4 linked regions of the Saccharomyces cerevisiae S288C genome follow. Changing the gene in region 1 together with any one later gene gives a genetic interaction. Each region holds a gene or a part of one and is shown on either strand. Other genes may lie near its edges.

What was found.
Region 2: mutations in NDT80 (region 1) and NMA111 together harm fitness more than expected from each alone (negative genetic interaction), as found in Saccharomyces cerevisiae (one large-scale study listed by BioGRID).
Region 3: mutations in NDT80 (region 1) and VBA5 together harm fitness more than expected from each alone (negative genetic interaction), as found in Saccharomyces cerevisiae (one large-scale study listed by BioGRID).
Region 4: mutations in NDT80 (region 1) and ECM19 together harm fitness more than expected from each alone (negative genetic interaction), as found in Saccharomyces cerevisiae (one large-scale study listed by BioGRID).

Annotation. Positions count from the first base shown.
Region 1 is NC_001140.6:354,875-362,933, forward strand, and holds NDT80 (transcription factor NDT80), read left to right. Parts: upstream 1-1,686; coding exon 1,687-3,570; downstream 3,571-8,059. Other genes in the region: EPT1 (bifunctional diacylglycerol cholinephosphotransferase/ethanolaminephosphotransferase), read left to right, coding at 82-1,207; YHR125W (uncharacterized protein), read left to right, coding at 3,984-4,289; ANS1 (Ans1p), read right to left, coding at 4,828-5,307; YHR127W (uncharacterized protein), read left to right, coding at 6,039-6,770; FUR1 (uracil phosphoribosyltransferase), read left to right, coding at 7,241-7,891. UniProt on the Saccharomyces cerevisiae protein: Transcription factor required for successful completion of meiosis and spore formation. Gets activated after completion of meiotic recombination at the end of prophase I.
Region 2 is NC_001146.8:390,863-399,900, forward strand, and holds NMA111 (Nma111p), read left to right. Parts: upstream 1-3,822; coding exon 3,823-6,816; downstream 6,817-9,038. Other genes in the region: ESBP6 (Esbp6p), read right to left, coding at 1-1,305; NAF1 (RNA-binding snoRNP assembly protein), read left to right, coding at 2,030-3,508; mitochondrial 54S ribosomal protein bL35m MRP35, read right to left, coding at 7,161-7,508; protein channel TOM70, read right to left, coding at 7,822-9,038. UniProt on the Saccharomyces cerevisiae protein: Nuclear serine protease which mediates apoptosis through proteolysis of the apoptotic inhibitor BIR1.
Region 3 is NC_001143.9:656,873-664,960, forward strand, and holds VBA5 (basic amino acid transporter), read right to left. Parts: upstream 3,593-8,088; coding exon 1,844-3,592; downstream 1-1,843. Other genes in the region: YKR104W (uncharacterized protein), read left to right, coding at 1-884; GEX2 (glutathione exchanger), read left to right, coding at 4,570-6,417. UniProt on the Saccharomyces cerevisiae protein: Transporter required for vacuolar uptake of basic amino acids.
Region 4 is NC_001144.5:901,098-907,893, forward strand, and holds ECM19 (Ecm19p), read left to right. Parts: upstream 1-1,968; coding exon 1,969-2,307; downstream 2,308-6,796. Other genes in the region: STE23 (metalloendopeptidase), read right to left, coding at 1-1,563; CCW14 (Ccw14p), read left to right, coding at 2,627-3,343; ART10 (Art10p), read right to left, coding at 3,652-5,208; ATP10 (Atp10p), read left to right, coding at 5,982-6,796. UniProt on the Saccharomyces cerevisiae protein: May be involved in cell wall organization and biogenesis.

The sequences.
Region 1 (8,059 bases):
CGTCCATTGGCTGCCTTTAAAGTGCAGAAGTCAGAAGCATTGTTACTAACTTTCAACAATTTTTATTCCTTTTCATGATAGATATCAAAGTGAAGACCGCTCGCTGGTATCGAAGTATTTCTTAAAGCCATTTTGGCAAAGATTTTGTCACATATTTCCCACGTGGATGGCGCCCAACATCATCACATTATCAGGATTTGCTTTTATAGTTATCAACGTGTTGACTGTATTCTATTACGATCCAAACCTTAACACAGATACGCCTCGCTGGACATATTTTTCTTACGCTTTAGGTGTATTCCTATATCAAACGTTCGATGGATGTGATGGTGTACACGCTCGCCGTATCAATCAATCAGGACCCTTAGGAGAACTATTCGATCATAGTATTGATGCCATTAATTCTACTCTGTCTATTTTCATCTTCGCATCCGAAACTGGAATGGGATTTTCGTATAACTTAATGTTATCCCAATTTGCGATGCTGACGAATTTTTACTTAAGTACTTGGGAAGAGTACCATACACACACATTATACTTAAGTGAGTTTTCTGGACCCGTGGAAGGCATCCTGATTGTTTGCGTTTCATTGATACTGACAGGTATATACGGAAAACAGGTAATCTGGCATACCTACTTATTTACAATTACAGTTGGTGATAAGGTAATTGATGTAGACACTCTAGATATTGTTTTTTCCCTAGCTGTTTTCGGTTTGGTTATGAACGCATTGTCTGCGAAAAGAAACGTGGATAAGTATTATAGAAACAGCACTTCTTCGGCCAACAATATCACGCAAATTGAGCAAGATAGTGCTATAAAAGGTCTTTTGCCCTTTTTTGCCTATTATGCAAGCATTGCTTTACTAGTGTGGATGCAACCAAGCTTTATTACACTCTCTTTCATCCTTTCCGTTGGTTTCACGGGAGCATTTACCGTCGGAAGAATAATCGTTTGCCATTTAACTAAGCAGAGCTTTCCCATGTTCAATGCACCCATGTTAATTCCTTTGTGCCAGATAGTATTGTACAAAATATGTCTATCCCTTTGGGGAATTGAGTCTAATAAAATCGTCTTTGCCCTATCTTGGCTTGGGTTCGGTCTCTCACTAGGTGTTCACATTATGTTTATGAATGACATTATCCATGAATTTACTGAGTACCTGGACGTTTATGCTTTATCCATCAAGCGCTCCAAGCTGACATAAATCGCACTTTGTATCTACTTTTTTTTATTCGAAAACAAGGCACAACAATGAATCTATCGCCCTGTGAGATTTTCAATCTCAAGTTTGTGTAATAGATAGCGTTATATTATAGAACTATAAAGGTCCTTGAATATACATAGTGTTTCATTCCTATTACTGTATATGTGACTTTACATTGTTACTTCCGCGGCTATTTGACGTTTTCTGCTTCAGGTGCGGCTTGGAGGGCAAAGTGTCAGAAAATCGGCCAGGCCGTATGACACAAAAGAGTAGAAAACGAGATCTCAAATATCTCGAGGCCTGTCCTCTATACAACCGCCCAGCTCTCTGACAAAGCTCCAGAACGGTTGTCTTTTGTTTCGAAAAGCCAAGGTCCCTTATAATTGCCCTCCATTTTGTGTCACCTATTTAAGCAAAAAATTGAAAGTTTACTAACCTTTCATTAAAGAGAAATAACAATATTATAAAAAGCGCTTAAAATGAATGAAATGGAAAACACAGATCCAGTATTACAGGATGATCTCGTATCCAAATATGAGAGGGAATTAAGCACAGAACAGGAAGAGGATACGCCTGTTATCCTTACGCAGTTGAATGAAGATGGCACCACTTCGAATTATTTCGACAAAAGGAAACTAAAAATTGCCCCTAGATCAACACTACAGTTCAAAGTGGGACCTCCATTTGAATTAGTGAGAGATTATTGTCCAGTCGTTGAGTCTCATACCGGAAGAACACTAGATTTACGAATTATTCCAAGAATTGACAGAGGGTTCGACCATATTGATGAAGAGTGGGTAGGTTATAAAAGAAATTATTTTACCTTAGTATCAACGTTTGAAACGGCAAATTGTGATTTGGATACTTTTTTAAAGAGCAGTTTTGATCTTCTCGTTGAAGACTCTTCAGTAGAAAGCAGATTAAGAGTGCAATATTTCGCTATCAAAATAAAAGCTAAGAATGACGACGACGACACGGAAATCAATCTCGTCCAGCATACAGCGAAACGCGACAAAGGTCCTCAATTTTGTCCTTCAGTATGTCCGTTGGTGCCTTCCCCTTTGCCAAAACATCAAATCATAAGAGAAGCTTCAAATGTTCGAAATATCACTAAAATGAAAAAATACGATTCCACTTTTTATTTGCACAGAGACCACGTTAATTATGAAGAATATGGAGTGGACTCTTTATTGTTTTCCTATCCAGAAGATTCTATTCAGAAAGTTGCCCGTTATGAAAGAGTTCAATTTGCTTCATCAATTAGCGTGAAGAAACCATCCCAACAAAATAAACACTTTAGCTTGCATGTAATTTTAGGTGCAGTGGTAGATCCAGATACCTTTCATGGGGAGAATCCCGGAATTCCTTATGATGAACTGGCTTTAAAAAATGGATCAAAAGGGATGTTTGTGTATTTGCAAGAAATGAAAACGCCTCCTCTTATTATTAGAGGAAGATCACCTTCTAACTATGCGTCATCTCAGCGAATAACTGTGAGAACACCGTCGAGTGTCAATTCCTCACAAAACAGCACAAAAAGAAAAATGCCATCAATGGCGCAGCCGTTAAATGAAAGTTGCTTAAATGCAAGACCTTCGAAAAGGCGATCCAAAGTGGCGCTAGGTGCACCGAACTCTGGGGCCTCCATCTCGCCTATCAAATCTCGTCAATCCACACCAATGGAAGCTTCGAAGGAAAATGAGGATCCGTTCTTCAGGCCAAATAAAAGGGTGGAGACTCTTGAACATATCCAGAACAAACTGGGTGCTTTGAAAAATCAATGTCCAGATTCCTCTCTGAAATATCCGAGTTCATCTTCAAGAGGTATGGAAGGGTGTTTAGAAAAGGAGGATTTAGTTTACTCAAGTAGTTTTTCTGTTAATATGAAGCAAATCGAACTGAAACCGGCACGCTCTTTTGAACATGAGAATATTTTCAAAGTAGGCTCATTAGCATTCAAAAAAATCAATGAATTACCTCATGAAAATTATGATATAACAATAGAGAAGAAATCAATGGAACAGAATTATCTAAGACCAGAGATAGGCTCACGTTCTGAATGCAAAACAAGCTATGGTAACGAACTCTCCCTTTCAAATATTTCTTTCTCTATACTACCTAACTCAGCAGAAAATTTTCACTTGGAAACTGCACTTTTCCCAGCTACGGAAGAGGATGTGCCAAGGACATTTTCAAGAATATTAGAAACAGGTTCGTTTCAAAATTATTATCAAAAAATGGATGCAGAAAATGCAGATAGGGTATATTCGAAAGGGGTCAAGTTGATTGCAAGCGGTACTCTACCATCTGGTATATTTAATAGGGAAGAATTGTTTGAGGAAGATAGTTTCTATAAGTATTAAATAAACTAATGATTTTAAATCGTTAAAAAAATATGCGAATTCTGTGGATCGAACACAGGACCTCCAGATAACTTGACCGAAGTTTTTTCTTCAGTCTGGCGCTCTCCCAACTGAGCTAAATCCGCTTACTATTTGTTATCAGTTCCCTTCATATCTACATAGAATAGGTTAAGTATTTTATTAGTTGCCAGAAGAACTACTGATAGTTGGGAATATTTGGTGAATAATGAAGATTGGGTGAATAATTTGATAATTTTGAGATTCAATTGTTAATCAATGTTACAATATTATGTATACAGAGTATACTAGAAGTTCTCTTCGGAGATCTTGAAGTTCACAAAAGGGAATCGATATTTCTACATAATATTATCATTACTTCTTCCCCATCTTATATTTGTCATTCATTATTGATTATGATCAATGCAATAATGATTGGTAGTTGCCAAACATTTAATACGATCCTCTGTAATATTTCTATGAATAATTATCACAGCAACGTTCAATTATCTTCAATTCGGCTTCAGTACTGTATGAAATACTCGCTAACATTTTCTTTATTCTATAATAGCACAGTGACACTTAAACGTCAAACGTGGCGCACATTAATATACGATGTATGCATTTGGCTTGACACTGCTGTAATAAGGAACATCATCATCCGTCAACTAGTAGTCACATTAGTAGTGTATTATCACATGGTGTGTAAGAACATTACGTAAAGATTGAAAAAAAGTCATCAAAAATAAAGGAAGCTGAAACGCAAGGACTAGTAGTGTAATAGAATAATATTGTGTAAAAGTATCGATACCCTTTTTGGAATTATTGTATCTTCGAGGGTGGCTTTTAATATATTTTTGAAAACCTAATATTATAACCTTTCACAACAACGAAATCCCAACTGTTGTGTAATAATTTTACTCAATTCTTACTATTGCTTTACCAATCCTTGTATTTGAGCTCTCATAAAGTTCGCTGACTACTTCTCACGACTCATGTCATCTCCTTATACTGTATATGATAATATACTGGTGGTGAATGACAGCAAACTCTTTCTGGAAAACTTCTTGTCCTAAAGAACAAAATCAGTGTAATGTGTAGGCCAGTGTTATGTTTTCATGAATATGACATCTGATAAGAATAAAACAACTGGTAAAATGACTGCTTTTTCGGCTTATAAAATTCTAACATGTACATATTTTTTATAAAATGAAAATACTATTGTCCTTAATTGTACAATTTTTACATTTGGAGGCCAAATTATAAAAATAATAGCGCTGCTACTCCAACTATATAACCCATGTTCTTGGATTCAACCTTCATACCAGCACCTTCATAGACAGAGACATTTGCGGTACTACTTGGGGTAGTAGCAGCGGTAGTCTCAGGTCCAGACGCAGTGGCTTGGATTTGACCATCACTGATCTGTGAAATAGCGGCATCTTGCTTTTTGCCGGGTTGATGATCTGCAACAGCGCTTCTATTGGAACGATACAATGAGCCATTCCAACCACCCACATCATATACAGCTGCATTAGATATCTTTTTCTGCTGAGCTGCTAAGGACCAAGATGCGCTGCTGTTGAAGGCTTCATCAGTCGAATTAAATTTTCCTTCTATGTACGAGTTCGTACTATTCGCAAATTGTACGTCCAACGTGTCTGAGGAGTTGCTTACTTGTGCATGTGCAACTAGAATATTGGTGATGGCAAACAATGTGGAAACTAAAGTGCACTTCATGGTAGATTAATTATGATGTTCGTTTGATTCTGTTCTATATTTTTTATATGCTGACTGAACAGATTATAAAAATTAAATTACATGAAGTATTGAAGTTAATGTTGGCTATTTTTGAGGAGGAGGTTCACCTTTATATAGTATTCCTCGAGCTACAAAAACATGGATATTTTTACAAATGCTAGTAAAAAGGAAAGAGGTCAAAAGAAACGTTTGGCATCAAAAGTAATCAAAGTGGGGTCTAGATTTATAATTTGTACTACGAAGAATCGCGACTCAAGGTACCAGGTACGACTGAAACTTTCTTTTTGGATTTTCGAAGAGAGAAAAATTAGTTAGCATAAAAAGAAATATAAAAAAAAAGGAAAGGAAAAGTGTTCGAGACTTTACCATACAAAGAAATATTACGGTAGAAAAAAGAGCTGCACTTACCCAATACATATTGATGAGGTAGTATTCACGGTGAGAACAACTTACATCAACACCTCAGTTTGCCGAATCTGCAGTGATATTGTATCCAAAGTCTACTTTTCATCCTCATTTACTGTCATTACAGAAATTTGTCAGGAAAAGCAACCGGGTAAGGGAACTTTCAGGGCCAACGCGAAAAAAAAAAAGGTCCATCCATAGATTTTTTAGAAGATACACACCGTGAATTGATTAGAGATCATAGTAACCTCAAAATATACAATGTCTTAGATTGGAGCAGGCAGAAATATCTATCAGAGCACAAAATGGCTAGAAATAGAACAACCTCCAAGAAAAATGTTCAAAGTAAACGCTTAATAGACAGAGTGGTTCCCATGGACAAGATTAAAAAAGTTGGCGTAGCGAAAAAAAAAACCGTAGAACACACTAAAGAAGGATTTAGCGTTGTCAACGGTAAGCTAGTAAGCAGCAATGACGTCGGTGTACTGTTAAGAGAAGCACAGGGTGCTATCGATAAAAGAACTAATGTTTCCCAAAGAAATAGGAAAAAGGGAATAAAGAATAATAGGCCCCACAAAGACATAAACAGCAGTCCTGACTGGGGCAATGCCCACAGAGGAACCGATTGGCAGAGCGAAAAAGCAAACGGCATGAACAGGGCCAAGAACTCTCGGAATTTTACCACTAATATTAAATTGCAGCGACAACATTTTGGCGAAGAAATACAAGGTGGCAGCCAGCTTGTGATATCTACAAATTCAGATGCTTCAGATAAATTGTTAATGCTATTCAACCTAACTTTGGGAGTAAACCAAGAAAACTTGAAAAATGTTCTGGAAAACATTTCTCAGGTGCAGATAGCTCAAATTAGGGTTAGAGACCTGCCTTCAGGATCTGCCACCGCTAAGGTCCGTCTGGCATATCCTACAACACAGTCTTTGGAGAAGGTAAGAAAACTGTTCCATGGCGCTCTAGTTGATGGAAGGCGCATCCAAGTGGTGATTGCATCTGATGAATCGTCCCACTTGTCGTATTAGAGTTTGTCAACGACACTCACAAGGTATTTAATCAGCAAAATCCCCGCCACAAACTATTTTTTTGAAGACATGCTTTCTCATGACTGCCTAATAACAATACCTCATTCTACTAGTAATCGACCTATGTAATTATTTCATAAACTATAAAGCAGGTCATTGCAATAACAGAAAGGCCGGTTTTTCTATAAGCTTATCTCATCGCATAAAAAATCGACAGTTGTAATTATCTCCGGCGGACTTTTCCCTTTCCGTCTTTTTTTTCAAAATTTTTTTTTTTTTCACTTCTTCTTTCAAAGCTGCCTCAAAAGAGATATATATATTGGTAAGAATCCTCTTCCAATACTAGCTTCATTTCTTCTTGAACCATGAACCCGTTATTCTTTTTGGCTTCTCCATTCTTGTACCTTACATATCTTATATATTATCCAAACAAAGGGTCTTTCGTTAGCAAACCTAGAAATCTGCAAAAAATGTCTTCGGAACCATTTAAGAACGTCTACTTGCTACCTCAAACAAACCAATTGCTGGGTTTGTACACCATCATCAGAAATAAGAATACAACTAGACCTGATTTCATTTTCTACTCCGATAGAATCATCAGATTGTTGGTTGAAGAAGGTTTGAACCATCTACCTGTGCAAAAGCAAATTGTGGAAACTGACACCAACGAAAACTTCGAAGGTGTCTCATTCATGGGTAAAATCTGTGGTGTTTCCATTGTCAGAGCTGGTGAATCGATGGAGCAAGGATTAAGAGACTGTTGTAGGTCTGTGCGTATCGGTAAAATTTTAATTCAAAGGGACGAGGAGACTGCTTTACCAAAGTTATTCTACGAAAAATTACCAGAGGATATATCTGAAAGGTATGTCTTCCTATTAGACCCAATGCTGGCCACCGGTGGTAGTGCTATCATGGCTACAGAAGTCTTGATTAAGAGAGGTGTTAAGCCAGAGAGAATTTACTTCTTAAACCTAATCTGTAGTAAGGAAGGGATTGAAAAATACCATGCCGCCTTCCCAGAGGTCAGAATTGTTACTGGTGCCCTCGACAGAGGTCTAGATGAAAACAAGTATCTAGTTCCAGGGTTGGGTGACTTTGGTGACAGATACTACTGTGTTTAAATAAATCACACCCGAACACCATCTTGAAGGTTCAGAACGGCTGAAGCCGCATATCAACTTTTGGTTTCTACTGTTTTAAATTTCCTTTCTCGTTTTAAACCTTTGTTGCCGTCTCTTCTACTATCAATTTTGTTGTTCATGCATGTTTAATTACCTTTTTTTGTAAAA
Region 2 (9,038 bases), on another chromosome or scaffold:
GAACCATAATGCAATAAGTACCACAAATGGCTTAGTTATAACCTTTAATGAAAACATTGCTTTGAGCTGTTCAAACATGGCCCGAGGCGATTTCAATCCTATGGCAGGTGTAGGGTTTCTTTCTTTTAAGAGCGCAATAGCAACTAGAACACTTATGCTACACGATATGCCTATGATACGAAGGCACCACCGGGTATTTCCAAAGTCAGAAAGCATTTTGTTTGTAGCCAAACCGTAAACGACACCACCAGCACCGGTACCCAATAATGAGACACCCATTGCGACAGCTCTTTTTTTCAAGAACCATCCTGGTAAGACGGTTGTTGCTGGAACGAAAATCAGTGATATTGAACAACCGACCATAAAACCTTGGGTGACATACAATTGCCATAACTTGGTAGTAAAGGAGGCCAAGAGATATGCGGCAAGCATTACAGCATCACCAAAAAGCATGGTGGTCCGCAGACCAATTATTCTCATCAGTGCCATCACAAGGGGGGATAAGAGTTGACCGAGAAAGACAGTTAGGCCAGCAATTAAGGCATAATCGTACTTCGAAGCACCAGGGTAAGTATCATGGTTTAAGTAGTAGGCAAGGTCGACACCGAAGGATGCGTTGCAGCCCCACGTGGAAAACATGGTCAAGAACACACAGAATGTCACGACCCAGCCATAACCACCGTCGGGGGGCAGTTCCAGCTGCCCGGTAGACTTGTTGGTGAATACTTTTTTTACAGTCGGTTCATCAGGCTCGAATTCGGTTATTCCTTGGGCCTCAAGATCCTTACCGGAGTGTTTCGTGGAAGCCGGATATAGTCTATTCCTCATGAGTTTGGAGTCCATGGAAGCTTTATGTTCTGTAGTATCATTTTGAATAGAAGAAGCAGAGAAAGCAGAGGAAGATGGTGCCGACAACGAGGCGCCTGCAGTCGTGGTGTGTGTGACTGGGATGTTTAACTTTGACTGGACTGACTCATTGTGCTGTAGCCTAATGGCATCGGCCACGTCAAATCTAGATTCTAATATTTTATTAACGTCTGCGGAATTTTCTTCCGTCTGCAAGTTGTCGTCATCGACAGCCTTTTTAATGTCGTTGAGCCGATTAGTTAACGTCCTACTAATAGACAATTTTCTCGATGCATCGTTCGACTTGGTGCTGTGTAGATCAGAGCATGGAACCGGAGCAGCAATAGAAGCCTTAGAGAATGATACAGGCTGTGAAGAGTTTATCGAAGAAACCTCGGACGATGTCTCAGAGACCATTCCGGAAGAAGCAGAAAAGTAGTCGTTTGAGTGCGTTGACATTTTTCAGATTTATTTTCAGAAGCCCCGTAATTATACCTAAAGAAAAAGTAAAGAAAAGTGGAGAAAACAAAAGAAAAAGATAAAACTTTTAAATATGTGGTGTGACAAATGCAAAATACTATTCTGACTCGCACATTTAACTAACAAAAGAAAATTTGTCTAAGTCTAGCAGCTTTGGTAGAATATAGAAGAAACAGTCTAGTTTTGGCTCCGATATGAGTGGACAAAGCATCAAGATCTAAGGAATGCCAAGTATTTATCCAGGTTCTCCCGAAGACTTTTCTTCAATAGCGGCGGGGGTTTTTTTTTTTTGCAGATTGCCGAGATAGCCCGCGGCAAAGATACGTTATCTCGGTTATCGTCGGCAAGCGCTATTGTAACTAGATATAGGAAACTGTGGTCTGCAAAGATGCGGTATAAGGCCTCCGTCTGTTCTTACTGCGTTATCAGCCTTTGACAGTTTTAGTTCGTCAGGGTCTTTGACCAAATGATAAATTCCCTGGTTTACATTTTCACTAGTTTGTTCTCGAGCAATGCTTAGTTGGCACATAAATGAGTCAGGCACTACCACTCGGGTAACGGTCTGCGCGTTTCTTTTTGCGGCCATGAAATTTTTCAGGCGATGAGCTTAAAGGTAAAGGAAAAAGATGGTAGGATGATAGGTAGGATGAAGCGGTATGAAAGTGGAAGAAGCACAATATAGCACGTCGAAACAGTGCTAATCATGAGCGATGACTTGTTTTCTAAGGCTTTGGAGAATCCCGACCAGGACTTGAACGTGGAATTGCCCAAGGATGATGTTGATTTAGGTCTTTTAGGTGATGGTGGGAACGAGAGGAAGACCGATGAACCGGTAGCAGACGCAGAAAGATCAACAGGCCTAGGATCCGGCTCTTCTGAATCCGAATCAGATTCCGGTTCTGATTCTGATTCTGATTCTGGCTCTTCAGGTAGTGAGGATGATTCTGCAGATCAGGACGTTGAAGGAGAGGACGAAGGTGGTGACGCGATTGAAAATGAAGACGAAGACGAAGACCCTTCACCTTCCGGTCCTATACTATCGAAGAACGAAATACTAGAGGAAACTGTTCCTGAACTACCGGAAGATTATGAAATTTCAGAAAAAACGATCATCACTCCTATTGGTGTTTTGAAGTCTGCATTTGAAAATAATATAATCATTCACGCCACGATGTCGGGCGAAAAGCGTGTTTTAAAAGAGGGTTCCATTTTCTGTCTCGAGGATAGAACTTTGATCGGGATGTTGACGGAGGTGTTTGGACCCTTGCAAAACCCATTTTATAGAATTAAGTTGCCCGATTCAAAAAAAAACTTATTCGATGAATTAAAAGTGCGTTTGGGTGAGAAAGCCTTTATAGTCACCCCTGATGCCCACTGGATAGATACTTTCGAGTTAAAGCGCAACAAAGGTACTGATGCGTCTAATGGGTACGATGAAGAATTACCTGAAGAGGAACAAGAATTTTCCGACGACGAAAAAGAGGCCCTTTTCAAGAAAATGAAGAAACAGCAACGGCAACGAAAGAAAAGGGACAACCGCAAACTAGCCAACGATAGTGACAATGTCAAGGTAAAGAGAGCTCGGCAGCCCAAGGCCAACAGTTTACCTAAACTGGTACCGCCGTTGGGCATGAGCAGTAATGCTCCGATGCAACATGGGTACAAATCAAGAAACGCACGTGAAAATATCAAGCGTGAATCCAGTGCTACCTCTAATCGGAATGGCTCCTCCCCAGTGCCAATCACACAGCACCACCAACAACAGTTTTCTGCAAATAATTATCCCTTCCCTCAACAACCAAACGGTATGCCTTATCCACCATACTCACCTTTCCCTCAGCCGACTAACTTCCAGTATCCACCTCCACCATTTGGGCAGGCGACACCGGCCCAATTCTCCAACACTGTTCCATATGGTAGCTTACCTCCCGCATACAACAATATGTCGCCGCCAACACAGCAGTCGTTCATGCCAATGACCCAAAGTCAACCGCCACTTCCATATGGCGTACCTCCCATGAATCAAATGCAAAACCCAATGTACATCCAACCGCCACCTCAAGCACCTCCTCAGGGAAATGGTAATTTCCAACAAGTAATGGAATTACATCAAATACTTTTGCAGCAACAGCAACAGCAACACCAGTATCAGCATCAGCATCAGCAAGATCCAAGAACCTAGAGTCACGATTGAAATATTTAATAATAAATGCTATGTATCATAGATAAACTAGAAAGAGGCAAGAAAAATTTAACAAGTTTCTTAATTGAATATTATTTTACTGTCACTACCATTATTAGACGCCATCTCAGCGTGTGACATGATAATTTTTCTTTTTTTCTTTTTTTTTCCTCAAGGCGATGATATGAAACTTTCAAAAAATTTATATGTAAATAAAAAAGTTCTACGAGGGTTTAAATACGGAAGTTTATTTAGAAGATATTTATACTCTGAATACACACGTAGAGTACAGTAAAGGTTTTTTAGATCTACTAATGACCATATCGTTGAGCAATATAAAGAAAAGAGACCATTCTAAAATTTCCGATGGAACTTCTGGTGAATCATCGCTTGTAAAAAGGAAACAGTTGGAAAGCGCCACCGGAGATCAAGAGGAAGAATATACAGACCATGAAATCATTATAGAGCCGTTGCACTTTGCTAATAATAATAACACTGTACTCACAGATTCAGAAAATTATCTAAGATGGCAAAATACCATCTCCAACGTTGTTAAATCAGTGGTTTCCATTCATTTTTCACAAGTTGCGCCATTCGATTGCGATTCTGCTTTGGTATCTGAAGCTACCGGATTTGTCGTGGATGCTAAATTAGGTATAATTCTGACCAATAGGCACGTCGTTGGTCCTGGTCCGTTCGTAGGCTACGTAGTTTTCGATAATCATGAAGAATGCGATGTTATACCAATTTACAGAGATCCTGTTCATGATTTTGGGTTCCTCAAATTCGATCCGAAAAACATAAAATATTCTAAGATCAAAGCGTTAACGCTAAAACCAAGTTTGGCTAAGGTCGGCTCAGAAATTAGAGTTGTCGGTAATGATGCCGGTGAGAAATTAAGTATCCTAGCAGGTTTTATTAGTAGAATTGACAGGAACGCTCCAGAATATGGTGAGCTGACATACAATGACTTCAATACAGAATATATTCAAGCTGCTGCATCTGCTTCTGGCGGTTCAAGTGGTTCTCCAGTCGTAAATATAGATGGGTATGCTGTGGCTTTACAGGCAGGTGGCTCTACAGAGGCATCTACTGATTTTTTTTTACCGTTAGATAGAATTCTTAGAGCGTTAATTTGCATCCAAACCAACAAACCTATCACACGTGGTACGATTCAAGTTCAATGGCTGCTGAAGCCTTATGACGAGTGTAGAAGATTAGGTTTAACTTCAGAGAGAGAAAGTGAGGCTCGTGCTAAATTTCCCGAAAATATCGGACTGTTGGTAGCAGAAACCGTTTTAAGAGAAGGCCCAGGCTATGATAAAATTAAAGAAGGTGATACTCTAATTTCAATAAACGGTGAAACCATATCTTCTTTCATGCAAGTGGATAAAATTCAAGATGAAAATGTTGGGAAGGAAATCCAATTGGTTATTCAAAGGGGCGGTGTCGAATGTACTGTCACCTGCACTGTTGGTGATTTACATGCTATCACCCCTCATCGTTATGTAGAGGTTTGTGGTGCGACTTTTCATGAATTATCATATCAAATGGCAAGGTTTTATGCGCTACCTGTCAGGGGTGTATTTTTAAGTAGTGCATCAGGGTCTTTCAACTTTGATTCAAAAGAAAGAGTGGGTTGGATTGTGGATTCTATAGACAATAAGGAAACCCCCGACTTAGATACATTTATTGAAATTATGAAAACTATTCCAGATCGTAAGCGCGTTACTGTACGATACCACCATCTAACAGATCAGCATTCTCCACTTGTTACTTCTATTTACATTGACCGTCATTGGTGCAATGAATTCAGAGTTTACACAAGGAACGATACAACTGGTATTTGGGATTACAAAAATGTTGCTGATCCACTTCCAGCCGATGCGTTGAAACCTCGTTCGGCCAAAATTATTCCTATTCCTGTTAATAATGAAAAAGTTGCAAAATTGTCATCATCGTTATGTACAGTGGCTACAATGGCAGCAGTTCCATTGGATTCACTTTCTGCTGATATTTTAAAAACATCAGGCTTAATCATTGATGCTGAAAAAGGTTATGTCCTAGTGTCCAGAAGGGTAGTTCCACATGATTGTCTTGATACTTTTGTCACCATTGCAGATTCCCTTGTAGTTCCAGCCACAGTAGAATTTCTCCATCCAACTCACAACTTCGCTATTGTTAAATATGATCCAGAGTTAGTAAAGGCTCCACTAATCACTCCCAAGCTATCTACCACCAGAATGAAACGTGGTGATAAGCTTCAGTTTATAGGTTTTACCCAGAATGATAGAATTGTTACTTCAGAGACCACTGTCACCGATATTTCCTCTGTAAGTATTCCAAGTAATTTAATTCCGAGGTACCGTGCCACTAATTTAGAAGCTATATCTATCGACTGCAACGTTAGCACCAGATGTAATTCCGGTATTTTGACAGATAATGATGGTACAGTAAGAGGTTTATGGCTTCCATTTTTAGGCGAAAGATTAGAAAATAAAGAAAAGGTTTATTTGATGGGATTAGATATAATGGACTGTAGGGAAGTTATAGATATCTTAAAAAATGGCGGTAAACCAAGAGTAAGTATAGTTGATGCTGGGTTCGGTTCAATTTCCGTTCTGCAAGCCAGAATTAGAGGTGTGCCCGAAGAATGGATCATGCGTATGGAACATGAATCAAATAACAGGCTACAGTTTATCACTGTTTCTAGAGTTTCTTATACAGAAGACAAGATTCATTTAGAGACCGGTGACGTCATTTTATCTGTGAACGGAAAATTAGTCACTGAAATGAATGATTTGAATGGAGTTGTAAGCTCAGCTGATGGTATTTTGCCATCAGCCATGTTAGATTTTAAAGTTGTTCGTGATGGTAATATTGTTGATTTGAAAATTAAAACCGTGGAAGTTCAGGAAACCGACCGTTTTGTAATATTTGCAGGTAGTATCTTACAAAAGCCGCATCATGCTGTTTTGCAAGCTATGGTTGATGTTCCAAAGGGTGTCTACTGTACATTCAGGGGAGAATCGTCACCGGCGCTCCAGTACGGTATATCTGCCACAAACTTCATAACTCATGTCAATGAAATTGAAACACCTGATCTAGATACATTTTTGAAAGTTGTCAAAACAATCCCTGATAATAGTTATTGTAAAATGAGGTTAATGACTTTCGACAATGTGCCCTTCGCTATTTCACTGAAAACGAATTATCATTACTTCCCTACTGCAGAATTGAAGAGGGACAACATCACGCACAAATGGATTGAAAAGGAATTTACCGGCAACAGCCAAAGTGAAAAATAGGCCAGATTTGATAAAACATTTATATATGTATGTATGTATGTATACATCAAAGTCTTCCATAAAGAACAGTTTTTTTATAGACTATCACAGGAGCGTTAAGATTTACAAGTTTTTCAATCATTTTGAGGGGTTAGGATTATGATGTCGAGATGGTTGCAAGCGCCTGACGAAATAGTATTTAATTACTTCAACGCTTGAATTCTCTAAGGTATTATCGATTGTATAAATTTATGGTTATTGTTTCATACTTATTTATATACATGAAGACCGAAAGCAAATACTCAAACAATTGATTTGGGGTTAACGGTGCGTTTGGTTTAGAGGAGAACATAATTATTCCACCTTCAATGATAGGGTAATAACCGCTTTAGATGCTTTGAATAAGCTGGATGGGCAATTTTCCTTCCGGTTAAGGCTTTTAATGATCTATGGGACCAGCCTATATTGCCATGTTTTCTTCCAGCTATGCCTCTTTTAAAAGTATTACCGGTACGCCTCCACCTCTTTGCTGTACCTTTATGAGTTTTCATTAAAGTTCTTATTGTTATTGTAGAAACGTTATTGAATAGAAAGCCGTTGAGCTTCACTTTGAAACTATTTGAACCTTTAAGTAGTGGTTTGAGTACATTGAAAACAGACATGTTTTGGTTTTGGTCTCCTCGTTGCCGTTTGTTATGCAAGCTAATTTTCATGATAGATATATATACTATCTTTTTTGTATTTGACCAGATTTTTTTAGGCTCCGCAAATTGGCGAGGGCTTCAAGGTTGAAAAAATTGGTTGTGGTTTATACGCACTGCTAATTATTTACAGAATGAAAGAGAAAAAGAAAAAGATATATATATATATATTAGAACATGCATACGTGTATATTGAAACAAAAATGAAAACAAAAATTTTCAAAGTGAGATGTCAATGTCATTGCTGCTCTTCCTTTGTCATTTAGTCTACTTTGTTACTTAGTTTTTGTCTTCTCCTAAAAGTTTTTAAGTTTATGTTTACTGTTTACATTAAACCCTGTTCGCGTAATTTAGCTAAAGTTTCTTGAATCTTTTTAGCCAATACTGGATCAGACCTAATTCTTTGTTGAACTTTAGCGGCTTCAGCAAAAGTAATGGCTTGTAATTTCTCTTCCATAGTTCTAGCCAAATCAGCGGATTCTTCGAATAATGTAATAGCTTCATCGATATCTTCCTGCTGCAATTTCATTTGAGCTAAACCGATTTTAGCTTGCTCACTTCTTGGGTCTAGTTTGGACGCTTTTTCTAATAAATTCGTGGCTTCAATAAAATTTTCTACTGTTGGATTTCTTGTCAACAAAGTGGCTTTACCGACCAAAGGCGCAATTCCAACATAAATACCATCCAACTTGTTTTCTAATTCAATAGCCAAATCGTACTGCTTCAAAGCCTTGTCAAAATCGTTCTTGTCTGTTAAAATTTCAGCAAAGAAATTTGGAACTTCTGGTGCCTCTGGAAATTTTCTCTTAGCTTCACTAAACAAAGTTTCACAGTCATCAAACTTGTTTTCACGGTACGCTAGACATGCTAATTGAATATAAGGGAAGATATTCTCTGGGTCTAATTCCTTAGCTTTATCAAAATCTTTTCCTGCTTGATCATAGTTTTGTAAAATGAAATTCATTTGGCCGCGGTGATAGTAAACAGAAGAATTGTTTGAGTCCAGTTTCAGCGCTTTATCGAAGTAGTTATAATATTCAGTCGAGTCATTTCTATCAGCCATGATTAATGCCATGTAGATATATGAATTGACTCTTGGGAACAATTCAATAGCTTTCTTGATGTCTTCGTGAGCTCCCAATGGATCGTTTTTCAAGAACTTGAAAATACCTGTGTGTTCTAATGAGATGGCCAATTTTTCCTTTAACTTTTCATCCTCATTGTTCTTGTCCAATTGTTCTTCAAATAACCTTGCAGCTTTCGTGAAAGACTCATCAGCCTTGTCGTAACTTTCGGGAGATCTTTTGTACAAATTACTTAAACCGTTCATTAACTCTTTATCAGCTTCATTGGATTCATCATAATTGGCAAAAGTCAACTCGGGTTTGAAAATACCAAAGAAAGAGGCCATGGATGTAACTGAAGGCAAGTTTTCCTGCTTGTCTTTGCGTTCTTTAGCTGGTTGGGTGGATAATTCAGTTGGAGTAGCAGTAGCGGTGTCAATATCGCCAAACTTTTCTTTCAATTTAGACATAGCTTGCT
Region 3 (8,088 bases), on another chromosome or scaffold:
TACCTTCCGAATCAAACGGCTACATATCACCTCCAGCTAATTGGCCTCAAACAGGAGATGTTGAACTAAAAAACTTATCATTGCGCTATTCTCCTCATTCCTCTAAGGCACTAGATAATGTATCATTCAAGGTAAAAGCAGGAACAAAAGTTGGTATTGTTGGTAGAACAGGGGCTGGGAAATCTTCTATTATAGCGGCTATTTACCGGCTTTCAGACTGGGAAAACGGTACGATTACTATTGATAACAAAGACATAAAACATATCCCTTTAGAGCGTTTAAGAAATTCTATAAGCTGCATCCCACAGGATCCTACTTTATTTGATGGAACTGTTCGATCTAATTTAGATCCTTTCGATCGGTATTCTGATGTACAAATTTATGGCGTACTATCCAAAGTGGGATTAATTGAAGAATGCGATGAATTGTGCTTGATTTTTGAGCAAGAGCAGCCTAATTTTTCTAGTCATAAACTAAGAAATAGATTCATTGATTTGAATACTGTTGTGAAATCAGGTGGTTCAAACTTATCTCAAGGGCAAAGACAACTTTTGTGCTTGGCACGATCCATGCTTGGTGCACGTAATATAATGCTAATTGACGAAGCAACCGCCTCAATAGATTATATTTCTGATGCTAAAATTCAGAAAACTATAAGAGAAACAATGAAAAATACAACAATTTTGACTATTGCTCATCGATTAAGGTCAGTAATAGATTATGACAAAATTCTGGTGATGGAAATGGGCAGAGTCAAGGAGTATGATCATCCATACACTCTAATATCTGATCGAAATACCATTTTTTACCGCCTCTGTAGGCAGAGTGGCGAGTTCGAAAACCTTTTCGAGTTGGCTAAAGTCTCATTCGATAATAAAAGATAAGACAACTAGAATTTCCTATTTTTATTCATTCCAGTTCTAGCTACGAAGTATACGATCTGCTTACGTCATATATTTGTGTGTAATTAGAAGGCATTCAGGAAGTCGCTTTTAACTTTTCAGGGCTATATGTCCTAATCCACTACTTTTTTTGAGAACTTTAAGAAATAACTCCTTTGAACCTGTCTGTGCCAAACAAAATTTTGCTGGTACATTTTATGGTATATAAACAAGCTACGTTATTATTACTTTTTTTTGATAGTTTTACTTATACTAGAAAATAATATTATATCATCACAAAAGAAACTCTCTCGTTAAGAATCCCGAATATTCAGCAGGAGCAAAAAAAAAATACCATAATTTAAATGCTTATTCAGTACTTAGCTGCTGATTTTATCGCAAGTATACTATTGGAGAGTACCGTGGTTCATATCGTGCTATTTTTATCTATATTTAAATTTATAGAAGTTTATCGTAGTATACTATGTAATTCTCTGCCGTATTGGCGGCAAAGACAAAAGCACTGACAGTAAACAGTTTTTCTGATGAGAATTTATGTCGAGGAACAAACGAAAATTTTGCTGGCCAAATTTGCTTACGCCTTTAATGTGATTGCGGTTGAGGTCTGTTATTACGCAGCTGCTATCATGTGTCTATTTGAGATTCTCTTTACAGGTTATCGCTGCATTTTTGTCAAGAAAAGAAAAGAAGACAACCTTTTTCTTGCACTGCGATGAGTATATTCAGGCTCGCGAATTTTCCAGATTTCTTACTAAAGACACATCTTTGAACGCACCAGCATGAATTTTATGAACTACTGATCCATATATTAATAGGTTTTAAGTACATATAGAATACTTAAGAAATTACATTCCATTGCGATACACCTATTTGATTCTGATTGTGTTGAAGTCTGTATAAAAGGCGAAAAAAAATAAAATGAAAATAAGAAAATAACTGCGCTACTTGTCTTCTAAATTATCTTCTGGTGTATCGTCCTTTTTTGGTATGATTAATTTCTTATTGGATGAAAAACTACAAAACAAAAATCCTAAGGCATAAAACCCTAGATCCATCCAAAATACGTTCTTAATGGAGTCGCTTAAAATGTTTCCAATAGTCGAATGAGAACCGTCGTAGTTTTGAAGACGATACAAAATCATGTCATCAACCGTTTTTCCTTCGTAAGGCTCTAGATGAGCTCGTGATACTTTATTGTGAAAGGAGGCGGAAAAAACAGTGGTTGAAAGCACACCACCAAGAGTTGTACCTAATGACTTCATGAATGTATTGAAAGCTGTTACTTCAATAAAGTCCATAGCAGCTTCTGGACGATCTTTGGTAATTTGAAGCTGTGCACTCATGAGCGATGCTTGTAGAGCAAATCCAAGGGAAAACCCCGGTAATAGCAAAACACCAATTTGAGTTGACTTCGTGGACGTATTTGTCATAAGTGTCATAAGCCCTGCTCCAATTACCCCAAGAACGCCTCCAAATATTAAGAGTGGTTTAACTAAACCGAGCTTTTTGGTAATCACACCACTTGCAATGGCCGCAATAACGTTGGTAATAACGATTGGTATCAAGTGAAGACCGGCTTTCCATGCACTCGACGCAAATATAAGTTGGAAAAACTGGACAGAGTATATCATTTGCCCATTGTAACCGGTACATAATAGAAATGTTACCATGTTTACTATTATTATGGCTGGTTTTGCTACCAATCTTCTTAGAAGGAGAGGCCTGTAGGATATATTATCAGGTTCCGGGTTGAATTTATCGAATAGGAAGAAATCGTACACCAATGAAAAAATAAAAAGTAAGACACCCAAAACCAAATATGTGATGACTTGGCCAGAGTTCCAACTATATTTATTACCACCAAAGGTTAGCCCCAGTAGGAAAAGGACCAGCCCTGCAGAGCAGAGGGCAAAACCAAAGAAGTCAAACTTGAAGATTATGCCATTCATAAGTCTTTTAAAATTAACTTGGTGTCTGAACTTACTAAAAGTAAAGCTCGAGATTGTTCCTATAGCATCTTTAATTTGTTGAAGTATACCCTTATTCTCGGCCTTATAGGTGAGTAAAAACATAATAATGGCAAGACCACCGATAGGAAGATTGATATAGAAGCACCACCTCCAGGTAACATGGGTTGTAAAGGCACCTCCGATTATAGGACCAACGATAGCAGCTACAGCAAATGCACAACTTAGGATGGAAATCACCAATGGACGTGACCTTTCACCAACCATCGTACAACCAATAACAAAGCAAAGCGTTTGGAGTCCGCTTCCCCCAACACCAGCAACAACTCTACCGAAAATGAGCATATTCATTGAAGAGGCAAGGGCAGCAATTAGGGATCCGGCTTCAAAAATAAGTATTGCTAAAATGAGACTATGCTGGAAACCTATGATAGATGCGAATCTTCCCCAAATGAGACTCAGAATAGCATTTGGTAAACTGTAGCCTGTAACGAGCCAACCTGTTTTGGAGTAGTTTCCGAACTGTTCTGCGACCACGTCAATAATAGTTCCCACTATCAAAATATCCAGTGCAGTTATGAATAGTACAAGAGTTAACGAAGCCAGGCAGAGGTACAAGGAAAGTCCCATTGGAGAATCATTGCTACCTCTAGCATTCAATGAAGCGTCTGAACCACATGCTCCTTCTATCTCCTGCTGCGAAGAGTACTTAGTTTCCTCCATATTTTTGAATTTCTATCGATTAAGCTCTATACCAGGTATGATCTGGTCTGATCAGTTCTAGGTATGAGTATAACTAGAATACATCTATATATATGTATATATATATTTAAACCAAAAAAAAAAAAAATTCGCTTCTCATAAAGGTGTGATGACACTATTATCTTTTGCATATTTTGTCGACTCGTATCATGTACGCGCTGCATATGAGGTGCGGCGCTATCTGTTAAATATGTACTAATTTGCACCTGCTGCAAAGGAAATGTGGCACTACTTTTACTCGCATGTTAACTTTCACCTACTATATATAGAAAAAAGGGTGTTGCTTTCAATCGCCGACTAATTTGCTCAAATACTCTTTACACAAAGGAAATTGTGTATCAGTAACCCTTACGGTTTGTTTATGAAGGAACTTTGCTCGTCCTACACCACCGGATCTAGGTACTCAATTTTTTGATGATTTTGCACTTGTGCTCATATCCTGTCGACAGGCACCGCATTTTTTTCCTTGTTTCAACAGACATAAACACAAGCTTCACTCATTAGTTTGAAAAGAGATAGTTTCGACGGTACAGTATTCTTGTCGTACAAAAGTCTTCGGTATAACTGGTTCGTTGTGGATTTTCGGAAAGTAAGTTGATTGTACGACGACAGGTCAAAGTTAAAGTTAAAGTCACCAGGTGTATAGACACCACATTGAAGGGGCGTCACAGCAATTTTTTTTATTTTTTTTTGATACTCAATAATTACGAGCATATAATTTTAGTACTTCCAAAAAAAAGTTAAAAAAAAAATAGTGACAAAATGTGTCAGTAAAATATATATGAGAACATGGAATGTATTAAAGTAATTCCATTTCTAGCAGATGTAGCGACCGTAGAATCTTAAATACTATTTACATAAATAAGAAAAGTAAAATAGTTTTATGGACTGGAACGAGAAAAAAAAAAAAAAGAATAATCAAGTAAATAAATTATCGGATGAGTTCTAGTGTTGTTGGTGCCTCAAGTAATAAAAAAAGTGGAATTAGGCAGTCCTGTGAGATTATTGAGCGAGAACGTCACTCAAACGATGACACGTACTCTATGACATCGACCTTTTTTAAGCTCAAAGAAAACGAAATTATGTCTGCACAGTTTGATTCCTTGAAATATAAAATTCTACTGATAAGTACCGCGTTTGTATGTGGGTTTGGAATTAGTTTAGACTACACACTTAGATCGACCTATACGGGCTATGCAACGAACTCATATTCAGAACACTCCTTACTTTCAACTGTCCAAGTTATCAATGCTGTTGTGAGTGTCGGATCCCAAGTTGTCTACTCTAGACTCTCTGACCACTTCGGAAGACTAAGGCTTTTTTTAGTTGCAACTATTTTTTATATAATGGGAACCATCATTCAATCACAGGCGACCCGTCTCACCATGTATGCAGCAGGATCGGTTTTCTATAACTGTGGATACGTCGGAACAAATCTGCTCCTGACATTAATACTCTCAGATTTCTCCTCCTTGAAATGGAGAATGTTTTACCAGTACGCCTCATATTGGCCATATATCATAATACCATGGATTTCAGGCAATATTATCACAGCAGCAAATCCTCAGAAAAACTGGTCCTGGAATATTGCAATGTGGGCTTTTATTTACCCACTCTCTACCTTGCCAATTATATTTCTTATTCTTTATATGAAGTACAAATCTTCAAAGACTGCTGAGTGGAGATCTCTCAAAGAACAGGCTAGAAAGGAAAGAACGGGCGGATTATTTGAGAATTTGGTGTTTCTATTCTGGAAACTCGATATTGTTGGCATATTATTAATAACTGTGTCGCTAGGGTGTATTCTTGTTCCTTTGACGTTGGCTAATGAGACATCACAAAAGTGGCACAATTCAAAAATAATTGCCACTTTAGTTTCAGGTGGCTGTTTATTTTTCATTTTTTTATATTGGGAGGCCAAATTTGCCAAATCTCCTCTTCTACCGTTCAAATTACTAAGTGATCGTGGAATTTGGGCACCCCTTGGTGTTACTTTTTTCAATTTTTTCACCTTTTTCATTTCGTGCGACTATCTGTATCCTGTTTTGCTGGTATCGATGAAAGAATCGTCCACTTCGGCTGCTCGGATAGTAAACCTTCCTGACTTTGTTGCTGCTACTGCATCTCCATTCTACAGTTTGTTGGTGGCAAAGACAAGGAAACTGAAACTTTCTGTAATCGGAGGTTGTGCTGCATGGATGGTGTGCATGGGCCTTTTTTACAAATACAGAGGAGGATCTGGGTCTCATGAAGGTGTTATCGCTGCATCTGTTATCATGGGTTTGAGCGGTCTCCTATGCAGCAATTCAGTGATCGTCATACTGCAAGCCATGACTACGCATAGTAGGATGGCTGTAATAACCGGCATTCAGTATACCTTTTCAAAGCTAGGCGCTGCTATCGGTGCCTCCGTTTCTGGTGCCATATGGACACAAACCATGCCTAACCAACTCTACAAGAACCTTGGAAACGATACATTGGCAGAAATAGCATATGCATCACCTTATACATTCATTAGTGATTATCCTTGGGGCTCACCGGAAAGAGATGCTGTGGTTGAATCTTACAGATATGTTCAACGAATAATAATGACGGTTGGCTTGGCATGTACGGTACCGTTCTTTACGTTTACAATGTTCATGAGAAACCCGGAACTAATAGACAAGGCGACACACGAAGAATTCACTGAAGATGGTTTGGTTGTCTTGCCAGATGAGGAAAATATTTTCTCTCAAATCAAGGCACTTTTTAGACATAATCGAAGTAACAAGAAATCAGGATGTTGATCCCCAAGCTGGTGAAAAAAGGGCAAAAAAAAAATGAAAGCAAAATCACAAAAAAGGCAAAAACAAGTGATTTCTACATTTTTATTACTTCCGATAAAAATGACATAACAGGATAGGATAAACATGCTCGATAGACCCACATTTGAACTTGCGACGCATATAGCTGTGTCGTACTTTTTATTTTCACAAGCGTCGGTAAAAACTCAGCGTCGGTAAAGACTCAGCGTCAGTAAAAGAGTCAGCGTCATTGATATTAAAAGTGCGGGAGGAGTTACTATCCAATAAATGATGCTGGAAATGCGCTCTGTATGAATGCATTAATTATGTTGTACCGAAAAAGAAAGAAAGAAAGAAAAAAAAGAATATCATGTAACTTCTAGTAAGGGCGTCATGTCATAGCACTTTTCTAAGTGTATGCCATTGTAAATCATTCTAAGCGAAAAAAAGTGATATGTCTCCTGGTATTTTGTATTGTTGTCGTTACAAGTTGATGTGTTCCGTAGTGTGAGTGCAACATGCGATTTTGGTACCGCAAAAAAGGTACAGATCACATGGGCACAGATACAACAATTCTTTATGCCTGTATTGAGATCATAGTTTTCTTGGAGTCGGCAACAGTCTACGGGTGAACCCAATAATCCAGCAGTAAATCTACTAACCGAACATTGTGTCGGAATTTACACATTACTGATATAATTCGTCCCATTAAACTTGCTGCGAGTGATTTCCAAAACAAGTACTACATTGAGCGTGTTCAGCGTGCCCAAAAGAAATGGACTTGAAAATCTTGTTGAATTAACTGTATATCCTTTAAATTAGCTGCCACAATGATAGCTACCTCCGCGATATATTGACGTTACTAACCTTTTGAGATTCTTCACCAATGTTGCAGCGTGATTTAATTTTGATGAAATCATTTTTGTTGAAAGAGTAGGATCCTGTACAGGCTGAAATATACTGTTCTTCAATATATCACTTATTTTAAATGATACAGCCATGTATTTTGGGGATATCAGAGATAATATCATACCCGATTGAGCTGGAACTCCTAGGATTGTTGACAGATGTCGACTATGGCTCCTTACTAACAGAGTATGGTTGTGAAGCTAATACAGATAATGTCTCACTCGTGCAGTCACATCTCCATTGAAAGCTGTGGAGTTTTTCCAGACACCAGTAGCAGCGCCAATGGCAGCACTACAGCGAAAGTTGAACTCATAGCACATCCCTGAATCGTGGACAGTTAATGTATGTTGTTGTGACTCAGACGATAACGATAAGCCTCAAAAAGTTGTGTCCTCTCATCATCCTCGAGCACCAGTATATCATAAGCAAAGAATCTTCGATAATGATTTGGAAAAAAAGCGAAAGCGAAGCCAATGTGTTTTATTACTGCTGCATTACTGAAGAGATATAAGAAGCGCTAACTCAATTACAAGAGCACATAACGGAATTAATCCTGCGAAACAGAACAGTAATTGACACCCTTATAGTAGCCTTTTTTAACAGTTAATTATGGAAAACTGAGTTTGAAATTCAATGTTAACGCAAGTTTCTGTTATTTTTGCGAATCTAGACGGTCTCAACGAGACGATATGCTCTAAGATTCTACTTCTCTGCGGATGATTCTTTCGGTTATCGATGCCCTTTACCAAGGCCTCTCATACCATA
Region 4 (6,796 bases), on another chromosome or scaffold:
GTTTTTTATTAAATCTGCCGGATAATCTACCACTTTATACGCAGTACCATACCATTTTTCAGCAGAATCTGTTTCTAAACTCCTTGAGATCAGAGTAACACGAGAATTTTCCGGGACCAGAGCGTCCGTATATTGGGTAAGCAAATCAGGTTCATATTTCGTTAACAAACCCATGGCTAAAATTCTGCTAACAGGAATGTAATCCTTTTCCAAGCATTTTGCCAATGATGAAACTGTGGAAGATGGGCTACCAGCTTGCTTAAACTTGAAGGTAGCATTAGAGATATCTTGCAGTTCATTGAATATCCATTTTTGAGGTAGTGAGTTTTTCAACATTTCAATATACTGGAAGATCAAGACAATAACATCGCGATAGTGTGTCAACCCGTTGTCTGTTAAATCTATATCGACAGCAAAAAAAGCATTTCCTTTGGACACAGTATGCCCACCAGCAGATAGCTCATTGGCCCAGCCCAATTTTTTCAAATGTGCTAGTAATGAACCGGACCCTTCATGGCCGATTAAATGACTTAATATCCTCGGTGGCTTGGACTCCCAATGTTCCTCCATATCAGGGACAGTGAAAGAGATTTCTAGTTTTTTCAAATCTTTCACAGGACGGACTTGAATTATTTTTTGCAAATGCTCAGGCTGCATAATAGGTTCCGCATAAAGGGGTACTTCACGACCGTTATTGGCTACATCCTTGAAGAGATCATAAGTCCAATCAGAGAGAGTATCAAGGTCTTCTCTACCAAGAATACATAGCTTCATTAGGTTAGCGGAGTAAAAATTCTTATGGAATTTTAACAGTTCATCTCTAACATTTAGTCCATTTTCCTTTGGCAATGTGCCCAAAGTTTCGATGTTTCCTGTAGAAAATTTGTGATATGGATGTTTTGTATTGGTCAAAGACTTGTCTAATTGGTAAATTCTCCAAATATCATTCTGTAAGTTCTTTTTGTTTTCGCTGTTAACGGCGTTGATCTCTTTATCAGTAGAGTCCTTGTTGAAAAGAGGACAAGAGAAAAACCCTGAAAACCTGTCTAGCGCACCAAATAAATGTTGGTGATTAACCTCAAAAAAATAATTTGTGTTTTGCGATGCTGTGTAGGCATTGGATGAACCACCGTGCTTGCTTAAATAGCTCGAGTATTCGTTTTCGTCTGGAAATTTCTCAGAGCCCATGAATAAAAGATGCTCGCAGAAATGCGCCAATCCAGGTAGGTTCTTTGGATCTTCAAAGGCGCCAATATTGACGTCTAGCGACGCTGCTGCTTTATCTGCTTTTGGGTCCTGGATCAACAGAGCCTTCAGCTTATTAGGTAGCTCAATAAACCGATACGATCTTTCGTCTAAATCCGGCTTTAAAAAGTCCAGATTGAATGTCTTAAAATTGGATGTCATATTATAAGGATTTGTTGTGTAATAGCGTGATAAGCACGTGAATGGCTTGAAGCGTCTTACGGTGAAATTGAGACTGATAGGTGAGAGGTGAACCAATTGAGTGAGGAGTGGTTTAGTTACAAATGCAGAAGAAGAAGCTAAAAGAGATACGCCCATACAGAGCAATATCAAAATGAGCAAGAATGAGGTCTTCCGAATGGTTGGTTCTGACTTACTATTTGATTTCACTTTCTCTGATTCATTCAGGAAGAAAAGGGCGAAGTCCTCGAAATGAAAATTTCAACATCATTAACAGACCGGCGCGCGCCTTTACAATTTAGTATGTACGCCACCAATAAAAGCTGCTTAAACAATAAGCTAGAAAGCCCAAAGGGTGTTAAATAGTACAGCGAACCCTTCAGCAACGGTACATCAACAACCCCTTGAAAAGAATAGAGACAATACAGCTACAGTCATCCCCTTCTCTTGTATTTTTGGCCACAATTGATTGTATTACATCATATTTTGCCTGTGCGCTTCTTCTATCTTTTCCGCATAAACTAGGGGAAACGCGATGAAGAAATGGATTGGCTGAAAAATACAACAATTGTAGTGTTATTCAGTCATTCAACTGACAAAAGTAACAAACACAAGAAACGTCAAGTCCAGTGCAATATGCGAAAGAACACTTTAGATATGGTCACTATAGGTATCGCATGCCTTGTGGGAGTCTACACGGGCACGAGATTTTTCGAGCCCATTGTTATCGATAGATTGCGTAAGGATGGAAACTTGAGAACGGACATTCCCATCCCAGAATACGACGAGGACGGAAATCTGTTAAAGGTCACGCCGTCTTTATCATCCACACCAGCTGCACCACCTACACCACCTACACCTCCTACTCCACCACAACAGTAAGGAAGCGTACTAGAAAATACCTCTATACTTTCTTTTCCTGTATATAGCATCAATAGTAAAGCCATTATAACGTTACAAAAACCTATTACCCGGAAAATTACTATTTATAGAAGCATTGGACCCATGCACCACATGCATTAGGACCCATTATTTCTTTTTTACAATTTTTCCGTTAATTTTTCACGAATTTTTCACCGTTTATAAACACTCTCGAACTTATAAACAAAGGGATGATAAATAGATTTCGCCAGTTGTTAATACACACAGGGTCAAAGCTCACAGCACTACTACACTCGTTCAACACTCGTTATATATTATCATGCGTGCCACCACTTTATTATCTTCAGTCGTTTCTTTGGCATTGTTGTCGAAGGAAGTCTTAGCAACACCTCCAGCTTGTTTATTGGCCTGTGTTGCGCAAGTCGGCAAATCCTCTTCCACATGTGACTCTTTGAATCAAGTCACCTGTTACTGTGAACACGAAAACTCCGCCGTCAAGAAATGTCTAGACTCCATCTGCCCAAACAATGACGCTGATGCTGCTTATTCTGCTTTCAAGAGTTCTTGTTCCGAACAAAATGCTTCATTGGGCGATTCCAGCAGCAGTGCCTCCTCATCCGCTTCTTCATCCAGCAAGGCCTCTTCTTCTACCAAGGCTTCTTCCAGTAGCGCTTCCTCCTCTACCAAGGCTTCTTCCAGTAGCGCTTCCTCCTCTACTAAAGCTTCTTCCAGCAGCGCTGCCCCATCTTCTAGCAAGGCTTCTTCCACCGAATCCTCTTCTTCCTCTTCTTCTTCCACCAAGGCTCCTTCCAGTGAAGAATCCTCTTCCACTTATGTCTCTTCGAGCAAGCAAGCTTCCTCCACTAGCGAGGCTCACTCTTCCAGTGCTGCCTCTTCGACCGTGTCCCAAGAAACAGTCTCCTCTGCTCTACCAACTTCTACCGCCGTTATTTCTACTTTCTCTGAAGGTTCTGGTAATGTTCTAGAGGCAGGAAAATCCGTTTTCATTGCTGCTGTTGCCGCTATGTTAATCTAATTATCTATCACTTTATTTCTAATGGGTTAAGGTATCTATCTTTTATATTTCTTATTTCCTCTTCTTATATGATGCGGATGATTTTATTTCTTCAAAAAACATTTTAAAACTCCTCTTTATTTCGTTATGTTCCAGTTCACTACGACTTCTTTTCTCTTAAAGAGCAAATAAAAGTATATAAATCTATATTAAATGAAAATCAAAAAAATATTTTTTCGATCAGCTCCTTGTTCTTTTCATTTCAAAGTTTTTTACATTGTTACACATGTGCATGAATATATATGTTTGCAGAATATTTTTGGCGACGCTTAACTCGCCATTTCAGTATATGTCGGTGGCGGTACATATCTGGGCAGAGCTTCAGCTTCAACGTGCTCTCTAACTTGACAAAAGATCTGAACAGGATCAATGTTTACTTCAGATTGCTTCCTAATTCCATTGATTCCCCATTCTATCAGTAGCTGTAAACTGAATGTTCTTTTTATCGTGCATGTCTTGAAACTATACAACCTATTGCCGCGATGTCTATAGTCTTCTTCATTAAATACCAACTTTCTTAAAATGGGGTGATCCTTTAACCGTAATTCACATTCAAACATAGAACCATCAAAATTTTCTCGTATTTCGTTTAAGTCCAAAAGAGGTTTATTGGATTTGAGCTGATTCAAATCAATCTCGATTAGCTTCAAAGAAGAGTAATTGCCGTTCGCTATTCCCTGAGATAAATATGTTGTAGTCTCTAGCAAGTTCAGTTGTAGTTTAAGTGGGGTAATTTGCATTTTGCTCAAACTTGCTATATTCCCCTCCATGACTACATAGACCTTGTCAAAATTTTGGCTGCCAGACCTAAACAAGTAGTCTTTCCTGTATATTTGCTTCAAATCTCGACTTCTAACCTCTATTCTCATATTGCTTTCCCCATCAGGCAACCCCATTTTATAAGTAGATGGGAAAACTTTCATACCATTTACTAGGCGAGTAGATTGTCTTGTTGATGTGACTGATGATACCGGTCTCGATCTAATGTCGCCGTTTTCTATCAATATAGAATTAGCTTGAGAAAAGTTCCTGTCACTTTTTATATATCCGACTCCATTAACGACTTTGACGTCCTTTGATGGCACCTTTAAATTTGAACTATTGAAAAATTCATTGTTGGTGACCATACTATTTCCTCTACTATTGTTACTGAAGGCATTAAGTTCTTCATTGTCATCTTCATCAGGTTCTATAATAAGATCTTTTGGCTCAGGTATAAATTCGAACGTCTCGATTTCCCTTATCAGTTTATGGAATGGCTTAAACCAAGATGAAGATTTCCCTAGCTCTAATTGAACTTGCACCATATATATAACTTTTCCAAAAGAGTAAAAATACAAATCCAGATTATCGATTTTATTAAATTCTTGCCAATGACTATTGAACGTAGGTGGGAGTCGGGCATTACTTCTTGTCACAAACGCTACTGTCTTTGCCGTATGATTTTTCAGACATTCAGGCTTTCTGGGAAACTTGTCAAATTGAAAGCTATAATTATATGAACCTGGTTTAACTTTGAACGGCTTGGAGGAGCCATCAAGAGCATTCCATACATTATCTGGAGGGAAAACTCTCTGTTCGAATTTCATTAATGTATGAAAGGATTTGTTGTCTTGGCCCGGCATCATCATGCCATTCTGTTGAAACATGTACTCTTGATCAATTTTTGTTAAGGTCTCTGAGAATCCTTTTAGAATGACGGAAATTTTCCTTATAGATAGCGCTTTTGTTAACTGAAGACTAACTATCCCTGACATTTGATCATTAGAGCTATAAAACTCCCCGTTGTACGGTGGGTTTAAGGATATTGAAATTTTTGGAGCCATGGTTTGACAAACTGTATGGTTCTCAACCTTCTCTAATCAAAAGCAGAATCTTAAATATAAACACTCACAGAATATCCGTTGGTCAATGAAGTAATTCTCCTTTGTACTGGCTGCTTTTTCTCCTCTAGTTTATGTAATTCTACTTTTGGATGGGTGCGACTGCTTTTAATTGATTGAGTGGCGGTGTTAGAAGGGCTGTAGAGTCGAAGGCTTGTTTCTCTCTTACGCACCTCTTGTGAAAAGGGCGTGCACCTTCCCCAGGACCCTCTCTCACCCTCAACCCGCATTTTGCTGAGAATTTTCACCAAGGCCCTAGGTGATATTAGATTCCACCTGACTAATTGCATTACAGCCGACCCAAGGCAATATCAGTTTAATAAAATATCATGTATCTCACCCTCTTCTTGGTATTAGTAAAGAGACGCCTGATCTTGTAACAGTGGTGAAGATTGTACTAGAGCAGAATCAAGAATTTAAAAAGTGTAAAGGCAAGGCAGAGGCGATGTACATAAAACTTCGAAGTAAGAAATATTTAATAGTTCTCGCCACATCACTATGCAGCTATATAAAAACTACTATAAACGTTTGTTTTGTTCCTTACGCACAATATCCTTGCCTAGAAATCGTTTTTGAAATTTAAATTTTTATTACCATTTATTTGATTCGCCTTCAGAAAAATATGGAAGAGTGCATATTTAAAAAGGACTATTTCAGCATATAGTAAAAGTCAGGTTATTTGTTTATTTGCGATATCAGAGTAACTTAAACTAACTATGCAGGGCACTTTTAAAAGGTTTTACCATCCCACGCTTACGCGGATGTCCTTCTTGGATAAATTCCTCAAGCCTATGATGGCAACGGCTTCCCCAAAGGAATACCAGATCAAACAACTGGTCAAGCCAATAGGCTTAACACAAGCACCAAGGAAAAGCACCAAATACTCCCAGGGGAACTCTTTGAGGGATATGTTTGATTCGGAAAAGACAAACCACAGAGTTAAAGAGTTGGCCGTTGAATTCAGCAAATCTGGACTTTATGACGTGCAAGTCTTCCAAAAGACAAAGGGGAAATTGTTTATAGCTCCAGTTTCATATTGGAAAGAAGATAAAGCTTTGTTTTTTCCTCATTTGATAGGAACGGCAATGGATGGTACGAAACAACAGAATATCGAGGATATGTTAAGGGGTAAAACCAGTATAGTGAGGTTATTTAGTACAGCATCTGGCGATAAGTTGAGTAGTTCATACTTCCAAGGAATCGTAGACGATAACAAAAAAACTGACTACTTGACTGAAGCTGATGCGCGTTTAAGTTTAAATGACAGTAACGTCCAAATCATCGAGGTCAATCTTGTAGAAAACGCTGTGAAAAGTGCTCTAGTGAAAACGCTTGCTCGTTGGGCCAATCGCGTTCCATCCTGGCGCCAGCCATTTTATTTCGAATGTTCTAGAGGCCAATGGCCATTTTCCGTCAGGGAAGAGCTCTTTTGCAATAATGTCTTTTCTGGATACGTCTTTCTTGTGGACCAGCAGTTAAAAATTAGGTGGGCAGCTTGCGGGGAGGCTACTCCATCTGAAAAGGAAGCATT